Schizosaccharomyces pombe: one gene and its partners. The protein of the gene in region 1 interacts with the protein of each later gene in a pairwise test. Each region holds a gene or a part of one and is shown in the gene's direction. Other genes may lie near its edges.

Region 1 (3,221 bases):
ACTTCTCGGTTAGTAGTAATCTGGGATATTTCTGTAGAGGAATACTTATTTTGACTAGCCACTTCATTGATCAGATTAGTGCAGACAGACAGCATTACATTACTAGGAATTTCATCTGAATCAACATTAGACAGGGCATATTGAACAAGTTCGAGTAATTCCAAACGCTTGTCTGGTGGCTGCTGGACCCATATTTCTAACAAGTTAGGCAGGAACATTGCTAATTGTGATTTTGTCAGTCTCTCGCAAAATATACGAAGATGTTTTGCATTTGTTAAATTCCTTAACAGCGATTTGGTACCACAGACTGATATAATACGAAGCAAGATATCCTGAACTTTAGAACGTAAAGTTGTGTTCTCCTGTAAGTGCAAAAGACTTGGTACACAAGATTCACATATGCGAATTATATCATCGTTTTGAATGTAGACTAATACTTGAAGAACGTCCAATGCATTTTCAAATGGGGATAAATCGATGACTTTCGGTGCTTCGAGTATTTGGAGCTTTTTAAGAAGAAAAGAGGTAACAATATCACAATGTGTATTTGTTACAGCAATTATGAGTTGTGACGCTAATCGAGGTTGAGTGCTGAAAAGGCTCCAAACCTGAGGAAGAATACACGAAAAATATTTCTGTGGTGAGATATCCTTTGGAACAGATGAAATCAGATGAGCGGCCTGTCGTGCGCGTTCGATTGAATTTGGCTGTGCTTGCATATAAACTTTGAGAAATCCTTGCACGCCAGTTTCTCTACAAAGACAGGTAGTTAAATAATGTTTCAATTTATCTTGCAACCAGTTATCTACATTCGGTTGTAATAGCGATAAACAAGAAGAAATCATTTTAGATGGATCAACCATTTGTGGAGACATTATGCTCGTTACTTTTTCTTTCCATGAAGGGTCTAAAAATAAAGGCCTGGGTTCTTCAATGAGAGAACCTTGTTCATGGCAGTTCAACAAATATAAATGAAGCAACAATAAGTCGGCATAGTGAAGGTTAAGTGGACCTTGTAATAAACTTGGAGTTAACAATAAAGGAAGTAAAATATTGTAAATTTGGACCAGATTTTTTTTGGGGGTATAAATAGGTAATGCCTTAATTTTCGCTTGCGATAGCATTTCTTTGGGGAGTTGAGTATAAACACCAAGCAAAAATGTAAGATGAACAAAAAGCTGCAAACATCGTAGAGAGGTAACACTTAAGGGTTGGTCTGTATCCAACTTTGAGATTTCCTCTAGAAGATTGAGGAAGTAATTCAATAAATCACCACTTATATTATCCTTCAATTTTTCAATTACAGGACGAGAATCATTCTTTTGATTTAAAAGCTTCGCAAAATCTAATAACTTCTGATTTGCATCCATGCGGAATATTGCTTGTAAAGTTCACTTGCTAAGTAGTGAACGTTATAAGTAAGTGAAGGCAAAAAACCAACTCTTATACTTTCCGTACTAAGAAATAGCAATAGCAAATATTTAGAATATGAGAACCAGGTACGGAAACCTTAATTATTTAACGAACTTTGTGGCTAAAATATGTGGATAACTAATTCCTGATCGTAGCAATAAATACTTGGGGTAAGTTATAACTAGACAGCTTTAGCTTGGATTCATTCAAAGAAATGGATCGCTATTCGACAACTGTGTAATTTTGACAAACGACAAGACCAAAAAATAAGACCGAATAAGATGTCCACAGTTTTAATGAAACGATAACCTCTTATTTATAAAATCTTCAAGATTCCAATAAATGATATTCCCTTAACACTATGTGTTCAGGTAAAATGATAGCATGGTTCTTGTATAGTAGCAATTTATGTGAACTTGCAATCCACCTCCACCATGTCGATGACAATTTTACCTTTAGGTATGTAGATTTATTAGTACATTCTAAATTAGTTTCATAATAAGAAAAGGGAAAAATTATTGATTTATGCCCTGGGTAAATCTGTTCATGCTAACAAGCAGAATTAATTGATAAATGCATTGGATCAAACTTATGGGTGATCATGAAAAGTGAACGCGAATTTGCGGGGACACTTGTTGGATTCGATGATTATGTGAATATTGTTCTAAAAGATGTTACAGAATAGTATGAAATATAATAACTTTAATTATCTTTGCTAATTTCTATGAAGTGATACTGTTACCGGCGTTACCGAAAAACACTCTGAAATGCTTTTGAACGGAAATGGGATGTGCATGGTATGTCAATGAAAATAATAAAGGAATTTTTGTACACTAACTATCTAGTTGATTCCTGGTGGAAAACCCGAATAAGTTGGTACTTGGCTATTTAACAGTCTTTTGAAGATGAAGGAAGAGTGATTTTTGTTATTATCAAACAAATGGAGATATATTGCACGCCAAATCTAGCTCATACTGTGTGCACTCCATATATGGTAAAATATCTAGACCCAAGTCTCACTTTTTACATTAATTGAACAACAAGCGTTGGTAAAGCCATGTCTTCGGATACGGTTAAATTTGATCGAGTTATTTAAAGAATTTGATTGCAAAAATAAGGTATTTTATAGGACTGGTTGCATGTTTCTGAAATGAGTGATTATTCAAAAATAAAGGCTTAATACTTCCATCCTCCATAATTTTTCCTATTAGTGATTGTATCTCAAATTATACTACCAAAATGAATTGTTATTTCAGATGATGTAAACTGTGTTAAAGTTAATTGTTTGAATGTAATCTGACTGTAGAAATTGGCATAAACGGGATATGCATAGCCTACGATGATAGCAATTTTTCTTCTAATTTGAAAGACAACATACTAAACATTGATTTGAGTAGCCTTTACAGGATCTTACTATTCAAGTTATCTCTTCCAGCCCATCTGGTTGAATCATACTGACTTTTTTTTGTTCATGTTGGCCAAAATGGGGATTTATTATGATTATACACTGGAAAAAGTATGAATATTTGTTGTTTATCATTAATATAAACTAAAGTGACTAACCTTGTTATTGTAAACTCAAAATTTTGAGAATTAGTATCTTCAGCAGTTTTATGAAGGAAACGAAAAAGTAAAATTAAAATGAAAACGAAGTTTAATACTTTGGATTTATATATCTCATCATTTATACATTTGGATTATTAAGAAATTTTTGAATCCTCTCTTCCCTTATCCCTAAATAGTTAGAGAAAAACGACAAAACTCAGCTAAAACCATTAAACTTTTTCGTTTTAAATTCCAATCTCGTT
Region 2 (3,586 bases), on another chromosome or scaffold:
ACACTTTAACAAATACGACGAGCTGGAATAATCCGTTAGAAGATGAAGAGCAGACTAGTCCCCTAGATTACACAGCGAAAGTTCAGTTCAATCGCCTATCTGGAAAGTTTATGCCAAAATGGGCTTCACCAGAGTTGCGAAGTGAAGAAAACAAAGCACATAAGCATATGGAACAGTACTTTGACATCAATTCTTCATTGAATAGTCACAATGGCCAAAGTTTACTGGCAGAACGGAGAAACAAGCGATATACCAGGAAAGAGATGGAGCAAATGAAACGAAGAACAAAAGAGAAAAAAGAAATGAAACGAAGAGCGTTATATGACATCGCTTCAGATGAAAAGGACTTCCGCCGTCGCAAAATTATCCGTTATTAATGTTTTTATTCCATTGTTTCTTTCTTGTTTGCATGTTTTATTATTACTTTAAAACTTTAAAAAAAGTCTAAACAATTTACTATAATTTATGTAATGATATTTTTTTTTTTACTTAACTAAAAACTTTCAGTTTTGTAAGACTACTGATATCCAAACAAAGCTATTTTACAACATTATAAATCGAATGTTTAGACGACCTTTTGTGTTTGAATATCTTTCAAATTTAAAAAACATTCATATAGCAATATTCGTTTAATGTGCTACAGTGAACCATCGTTATTTTGATATCGTACATGTGTAAATAGAGCAAAACTTTTGCAGCTTTATTTTGCGATTTATTGATGGCAATTTCTTCATTATCTAGTCCTTCAGGGGCTCGCGTATCTTCAGTTACGGTGAAGAACAAGGTTCTGAAGACTCCTTGCTTTTTCCTTCCTACTTCCAGAGGAACTGTTCCTCATTTGACACCTGACAATGTTGAAGAATTCGATATTCCTGCTCTCTATGTAGGGTTGGAGGATTGGTAAGGTTTAAATTTAGGACTCAAATGCTTTATCATATCTTTTTTAATTTGAATTTCTAACTAATATGTTTGTAGCTTGGATCGTCTGGAAGCCTCACCAATCTTGACTAATGAGGGAACTATCAAAAAATGGATCGCAGCACCCTCTGTCCAACCTACTTTACTTGCTCCAAGAAGAACATCTCCTTTGCCATCTGTTTCTGCAGGACAAAGTCATATTAATATCGTTACTGCAAGTGGTGCAAAGAAACTGACAAATGACTTGTATATTAAAGCTGTCCTAAAGCTTTGTCCTGAATTAGTAATTCCTTTAAATGATACCCCAACTAGTCCTCCTGGTGTCAAAAGGAAGCCAAAAATTGTGGAACGGTCTGTCAATTGGACAACTGAGTTGCTTTTAGCACTCAAAGCGACGGACGCTTTCAATACTACTAAAGTATTTTTCCCTGTTCCTGATCTGGACACTCAGTACCTTACGCCTATTTTCCAGTTTTTTCAAGAAAATCAACTTGCTAACAACATTGCTGGCTTGGCATTTTCTAACAATGTCAATCCATTACCAGCTGATTTGGTTGGTCTCCCAAGACTGAGTATTCAAAAATTTGAATCACCACTCGAAATTCTGAAATGCATTCAAAGAGGAATTGACATTATTGTTCCAGATATGATAACACAAGCTACTGATGCTGGTGTTGCACTTACATTCTCTTTCCCGCCTCCTTCTAAAGATGTGTTGAATTCTAAAATTGAACTTGGCTTGGATATGTGGGACGAAAGGTTTGCTACTGACATGGAACCATTGCAATCCGGCTGCGTTTGCAAAACATGTCGTAGATACAAACGCGCTTATGTTAGGCATCTGTTACAGGCTAGAGAGCTAGTTGCTTGGATACTTTTACAGCTGTATGTTTATATTAAAGAGCATGGTAAAGAAAGCTAACGATTTGTAGACACAATGTTTATGCCTTCACTGCCTTTTTTCAAGGAATCCGCGCCTCCATACAAGAGGGAAACTTTGATGAAGATGTTAGAAAATTTGAAGAAATTTATATGACATCTTTTCCAGCATCCCATGGATTTGGGCCGCGTAAACGTGGTTATCAAATGGATTTGACAAACGTTCAGCCTGTAGAAAACAAGCCTGCTTGGATTTCTATGAAATCTCCTTTGGAAAAGGAAATCGCCAACGAGTATGAAGCTTTGAAGGTTACTGAAAGAAAGGAGGATACTCAGGATTACAATGAACCAGAACTGCATAATAGGTAGGTTACAGTAGCGTACATATTATGTCTAATGTTGACATTAGTAACGACCCAACAGTTGATCTTTACGCTGATACGTATGCTACTCAAGCTGCAACCGAAAGTGATTCAGAATTGGAAGATGCGCTCTTTTCACAGTTGGATGAATTTGATGATACTGCTTATCGAGAACAGAGATTGGAGATGCTAAAAAAAGAGTAAGAAAAAGCTTTAAAATGATTTTAAGAATTTAACCGTTCAGATTCGCTAGAGTGGAAGCTGCAAAAGAAAAAGGACACATGCAGTTTCTTACTGTAGAAAATGAGCGCGAAGTTATGGATTTTACGCTGTATGTCAAAACATTAGCTTCGATTATTTTAAACTAATTATTTTTTAGTTCATCAAAAAAAGTTGTTATACATTTTTACCACCCTGATTTTATACGTTGCAAAATTATAGACTCTCATCTAGAGGTACGAGGAGTTCCATTTATTGCTTACGCTAACATTCTCAGAAAATTGCCAAAGTACATTGGGAAACTAAGTTTATCCGTATTGAAGCAGCCAACGCTCCATTTTTGGTAGTCAAATTGGGTCTCAAAGTATTACCAGCCGTACTTTGCTACGTAAATTCTCAGCTCGTGGATAAGATTATCGGATTTGCTGATTTAGGTAATAAAGATGATTTTGAAACTTCACTCCTAGAATTTCGGTTGCTCAAGAGTTCAGCAATCGACCGATTAAAAGAAGAGAGTTCTTCAAACAAGTCTATTTACCACGATGAACTACAAAATAATCAATCAGATGACAGTGATTTTTTTGAATAAAAGGATCTTGGGATTACAAAGTAAGAAATTTAGATCAATGTGATGTATAATATATATCCTTTTAAAAAAATTTAAAATCTATCATAAGCCTACTGATGAGTGTAGCTATCGTAAAATGTACAGAACAGAAATCACAATGGAGTCTAAAGCAGTAACTATTTTGAAGCGACTTGTTTAACTGAGTCCATAAGTAAGGGAACTACTTTCTTTCTGCTAGCAGCGGAATTTCTTTGATTCCACATACTGAGGTCGCCATTATCTTTCTCTTCAATAATTTCTAATCCTAAATTTTGTTTGCTAAGTTTTAAGAAAGAATCGGCAAGACCAGCTCCCCTTTCAGTACGCTTGTATAAAATCAATTGACGACCAAACTCGTCGTTCTTACTCAGAGATAACCCAACAATTACCAAATCAGAATTTTGCACTTCGGCAAAACTTTTCAATTCATCTTCCCATCCGAGACGTTTTTTCTTGATCCAATCTAATCCCTTTCCAACACTGGCATAATTGACGACTATTCCGTCCGGAAAATACTGTTTTAAATCCCTGCGTAGTAGATCATCAAAAGAAAAACCCTTACAGCTCTTCTTTTTCTCTTTCAGAGTATCAAAAAACTCAT
Region 3 (4,653 bases), 2.8 Mb from region 1:
AAAATGCCATGTCCTCTTATGTGCCCAACACCCTGTCCGTATATCACAACTTGTTAATTTTAGAGGCATCGTTTCGGAAAACATACCTACAGCTTCAAGTTCGTCGTCAAAAGTATATGGCTTTCTATGTCTCACTATTGGTGTGGAACTTTTACTTTGGCTATCGCGTCTTTTATCGCATCTCAAAATACTCGTTGATTGATTTGACTTACAAACTTTGTCTTTTATGCGGAATTGTTACACTTTTGCTCTTTTATTTTTCTGGATTGTATCGGACTACAATAGTATATCCATCACGTTATGTTCAACAAGTCAACAAAGCGATGAGGTTTTTTAACATTCGCCTTGTTATAACTCCTGTCCCGTGGTTCCAGGTGAGAAAGCCTTTGGATTGTGGTGTCCATCTTATATTATCAAGCAAACGATTTGACATATTGGTGATCGAAGGTTGGGAAGCTTTTCGTTCTTCATATTTTGCTTCAATACATAGAAAAAACAATAGCATACAGAGTAACGAGTCCTCTGAATCTCCTTCTTCTAAACAGAACTAGATTTACTTATACCCTTATCCTATTTATAAAGGATGCGATCGTTTATTTCCTTTTCAACGTTGTTAATGCTTTTCATGTTTATACTGTTCTAGTATTTGTCATTTTTCATAACGTAAATTTTGATTAAAATTTTCAGCTATTTTTTTTTTTGCTATCCGTTGTTGCTGGCGCCTTTCGCTATATTATTGATCAGTTATTGTCGTTATACTTTTATTACATACTTACCCGATTTGAATTTATTAGGATACTTTTAAGGACATTTCCTTTTATGTTGGGATATGAGATTGCTTTACAGACCCACTGAAATAGGATTTATCGTTGGATAATTAAAAAAAGGATGTTGATGATTCATTACACATCTTGATCATTTACTTGCCTCATCTTAATTGGAAGGGTTTAAATAAAGGCTTAATTGAAAGTTGCTGTCACTTAACTTCCTTATCTTGTTCTGTCAACTTAAACTATTATCTTTCATTCCCGACTTATAATCTTTCTTTTCTTTCTACATCACCTTTTTTTTTAAAAAATGGGTAAAAAGCGTTTTCGCATGTACATAAGCAAAACTTCTTCTCTTCTTATGTAGAGACTTCCTTTTTTTTTAATTTTCAACTTACTCATGCGGACTATACCGGACGTTCATTAGCTCTCTTGACGAGTTAGGTTTTCAAATAATTTAATATAAATGTAATCACTCCACCGTTAAAATTAACTATTTATAAGTGGTGCTAAAATATAAAAAAGTGCATATAGCTAACACGTTTACTCACTGTTGTGCTGACAATTTAATCAATGAAATAATTGGAGACAAGTGAACTCTTTCGAAACTCTCATAATCGTCAGAGTTTGACTTAAAATACATTGTATATTAGTAGTCTAAATACGAGTAATATTATGCAAACCTTCCTATTCCTTATCTAATGTCGACTACTCAGTTAAATTTTATCCCAGCCAATTGCCCTAGCTAAGACATTTGTTATTATTTTGGTATTATGTTTATTCTTTTTGAACTTTCTGGCTAATTGTTAAAGATTTTACCTTATGTGATCTATATTTTCTTACTGGCTCAACCATGCGTAACGCTCCAACAACCAGCACTTTGCTCCATCACAATGCCGTTGTTCTTAGAAGAACATGCTGAGGTAATTTTATTTTTAAGATGCCGAATTAACGCTTTTAGTATTTGAAAAGATATTTAGAACAGGCGTTGGAGCCAATGTATGTAATTTTTTTTGAGTTGCCAATTTGCGTGATTTTTTTTTTTACACGCTAAAAAATTGTTTATCAATATGCTAACGAAATGACTAGTTCTGATGCTGATGCAAGTGTTTTATCAGATTATGCTATGGCATTGTTAAGGCACGATTCTTCTGAAGAAGAAGTTCGCCAGTTATGCTACTCACAACTAGAAGATTTTTTGCGACAGGAGACAATTCCTTTTGTTGATAAAATTTTTGATGTTTTACGTGAAAAATCTTACTTGGAGGGTGCTTCAAATATGCCGTCAACCGGTATGGTGACTGAAGAAGTTTCAAGGTATTCGCCAACTTCATCAATGATCCCTGCCACCAACAGCATGGAAACCAATTTTAATAATTCTTTACCTGCTGTAGGAAAAACAAACACTTTTCCCTCTCAGGTGCCTAATATGTTTGGACCTCCGTTGTACCATCCAGCAGCCACAGCACCTTCTGAATTCATGCCCAGTATTCCTGGGTTTGGAAACTTACCAAATCCTGCAATGCCTCCCATACCATTCTTACCATTTAATCCTGCGGCGCAGCCTCCTTTCCCTCCCCCATTTAAGATGCGAGGTAAAAGAGGATTTGGCATGCGCCATGAGCATAATAGTGAACTTCGTAGGCATTCTCCTGGTAATCGAAGATTTAATCCATACAAAGCGTATCCCCAACCCCATCTGGGACATCGCTTCTCTCGTAACGCTGGCAATGATCCAACAAGTACTGCTTTAGAAGTGCGAAACATTCCGGAAGAGCATTTTAATGAGGAGAACATTAGGTCCTTTTTTTCAAAGTTCGGTGTATTGGAGAAAGTCGAATTAAATCCGACACATCATTCTTGTGTGTTAGAATTCACTTCCCATGAGGCTGCCAACAATGCTTGGTCCTCGCCTGAGCCCATATTTAACAATCGCTTTATTAAAATATTTTGGTATAATCCGTCAAAGGGATTTCACAATCGACCAAAGAAGTTTGCATCCCATAAATCTCCCACTACTTCCGATTCGTCGAATGTAGAGAGTTCTGAAGATGTCGATCCTGCTTCTTTGTTACAAAACGAAGAGTTTCATAAACTGATTGAAGAAAGGCAAAGGCAGCACGAAGAACGTTTAAAACGCATAAATGCTAATAAAAAGGCACTAGAAGAACTTAACCAAAAAAAGCGCGAGCTTGCACAGCAACAATTAAAAGAACAAGAGTTACTGATGCAAAAAATTAAGGAAACTGACCGTTCAGGAAACAAAAGACTCATGTTGTTAGAAACTCAGCATTCTCTTTTGAAGGCTGAGGCTGATTGCTTAGGGTTACCTGTGAGCAACGTTTCTGAAAGCCCAGCGGCATCTAATGGTTCTCATCATCCTTACGCTTCAGGACTTCCCCAGCGAGGTACCAACACATTTTTCCGTGGCAGAGGTCGCGGACGAGGTGATATGTTTGCGTCAATGTCCATCGATAATCGTCCAACTAAGCTTCGTGTAATAAATGTTTCTCCTGAAAAAAATGAAGCTTTGTTGCAATACTTATTCACTGTTGGAGGATATGAGGAAATTACTGAACCTTCAACTACTGAACGTCTTATCAGTTTTCAGAATAGAAATTCCGCTGAAAAGGTATGTAGCTGATTCTTTCTCTGACAGAAAAAATTTCAAGTTAACAAATTTTAGTTTTTTGGTGGAGTTCGGAACGTTGAAAAACTTCAAGAATTGGAGTTGGCGTGGGTGCCAAAAACAGCTGTTACAACTAATACTACATCCATGGAGACTGGCGAATCTAATACAAGCGACAACATGAACATAGAGGTAGAAGAAGGAAGATGGCGCTAGTTTATTTACTTTTACAAAAGTTTTTCAGAGAATGAATTAATGGGCTGCATTGTATGCGGCTGTCATAAAATATAAGCAACTAATTGATTAATCTTATAGAGTGCAATAAGCATTTCAAAAATGGAGATTTCATATTGAAATATTTGTAACTAACATTTCGATCAATTCGGTTTTTTGATACAAAAGAGTTAATGCTTCCGAATTACAACTCAAATCGTTACACAATTCATTAAAAGTGGTAACAAAAATCGGCTAGGAGAGAAAACTCATGATAAGGAAAGAAACATAAATTCAGTGTTCATAGCAAGAAGTAAACAAAATGGGCATGTTACTTCAGTTTAGAAATAATGGCATCGGTATATTGAACATTGTTTGACTTGCCGCCCAAATCCTTGGTGCGAGCATCGGGATTGTTTGCAAGGGTATCAAAGATAGCTAATGGTAATTAGTAAACAGACAAAATCTTAATTTAGTAAAACACATACCTGATTCGATGCGTTTGGCATAATCATTTAAATTCATGTGCTTCAACATCATTACAGAAGATAACAGTAAAGCAGTAGGGTTGGCTAAACCTTTTCCAGCAATATCAGGGGCAGTACCATGAACAGCTTCAAAGATGGAAGCTTGGTTGCCAATGTTTCCGGAAGGAGTCAAACCAAGACCGCCAATTAAACCAGCGCACATATCAGAAACAATATCACCGTATAAATTGGGCATAACCATAACTGTGTTGTTATAAGGGACAGGATCGGTGACAATCTTCAAGCAGGCGTTATCCAAGATTTCCTCCCTAAGCTCGATATCAGGATATTCAGGTGCAAGCTCCTTGGCGCATTCCAAAAATAAACCGTCAGCCATGCGCATAATGGTAGCCTTGTGGACTACGGTGATGTTGTTCTTGCCAGTTTGGCGAGCATATTGGAATGCATAACGAATAACACGCTCAGATGCTGCGCGAGTAATTAATTTAATCGATTGAACAACGCCTGGTATAACTTCATGCTCGATGCCTGAGTATTCACCCTCAGTGTTCTCACG

What was found.
Region 2: the proteins of lsm5 (region 1) and plp1 interact in a two-hybrid assay, tested with the Schizosaccharomyces pombe proteins (one large-scale study listed by BioGRID).
Region 3: the proteins of lsm5 (region 1) and rmn1 interact in a two-hybrid assay, tested with the Schizosaccharomyces pombe proteins (one large-scale study listed by BioGRID).

Annotation. Positions count from the first base shown.
Region 1 is NC_003423.3:3,299,457-3,302,677, forward strand, and holds lsm5 (U6 snRNP-associated protein Lsm5), read left to right. Parts: upstream 1-1,838; 5' UTR 1,839-1,847; coding exon 1,848-1,872; intron 1,873-1,973; coding exon 1,974-2,097; intron 2,098-2,143; coding exon 2,144-2,210; intron 2,211-2,258; coding exon 2,259-2,285; 3' UTR 2,286-2,679; downstream 2,680-3,221. Other genes in the region: RNA polymerase II nuclear import protein Rtp1, read right to left, coding at 1-1,370. UniProt on the Schizosaccharomyces pombe protein: Component of LSm protein complexes, which are involved in RNA processing and may function in a chaperone-like manner. Component of the cytoplasmic LSM1-LSM7 complex which is involved in mRNA degradation by activating the decapping step.
Region 2 is NC_003424.3:3,947,311-3,950,896, reverse strand, and holds plp1 (thioredoxin domain-containing protein), read left to right. Parts: upstream 1-1,950; coding exon 1,951-2,162; exon of another isoform or gene 2,163-2,206; coding exon 2,207-2,359; exon of another isoform or gene 2,360-2,403; coding exon 2,404-2,490; intron 2,491-2,538; coding exon 2,539-2,614; intron 2,615-2,655; coding exon 2,656-2,967; 3' UTR 2,968-3,012; downstream 3,013-3,586. Other genes in the region: splicing-associated factor Saf2, read left to right, coding at 1-377; qtr2 (queuine tRNA-ribosyltransferase accessory subunit Qtrtd1/Qtr2), read left to right, coding at 719-900, 976-1,840; ppx1 (exopolyphosphatase), read right to left, coding at 3,123-3,586. UniProt on the Schizosaccharomyces pombe protein: Inhibits early G-protein signaling events following pheromone stimulation. May help create heterodimerizable beta-tubulin by facilitating the efficient transfer of nascent beta-tubulin polypeptides to the folding apparatus.
Region 3 is NC_003423.3:488,222-492,874, forward strand, and holds rmn1 (MTREC (exosome adaptor) complex RNA-binding subunit Rmn1), read left to right. Parts: upstream 1-1,634; 5' UTR 1,635-1,660; coding exon 1,661-1,690; exon of another isoform or gene 1,691-1,728; coding exon 1,729-1,766; exon of another isoform or gene 1,767-1,856; coding exon 1,857-3,399; intron 3,400-3,453; coding exon 3,454-3,612; 3' UTR 3,613-3,940; downstream 3,941-4,653. Other genes in the region: protein phosphatase regulator Nem2, read left to right, coding at 9-551; idh2 (isocitrate dehydrogenase (NAD+) subunit 2), read right to left, coding at 3,941-4,047, 4,098-4,653.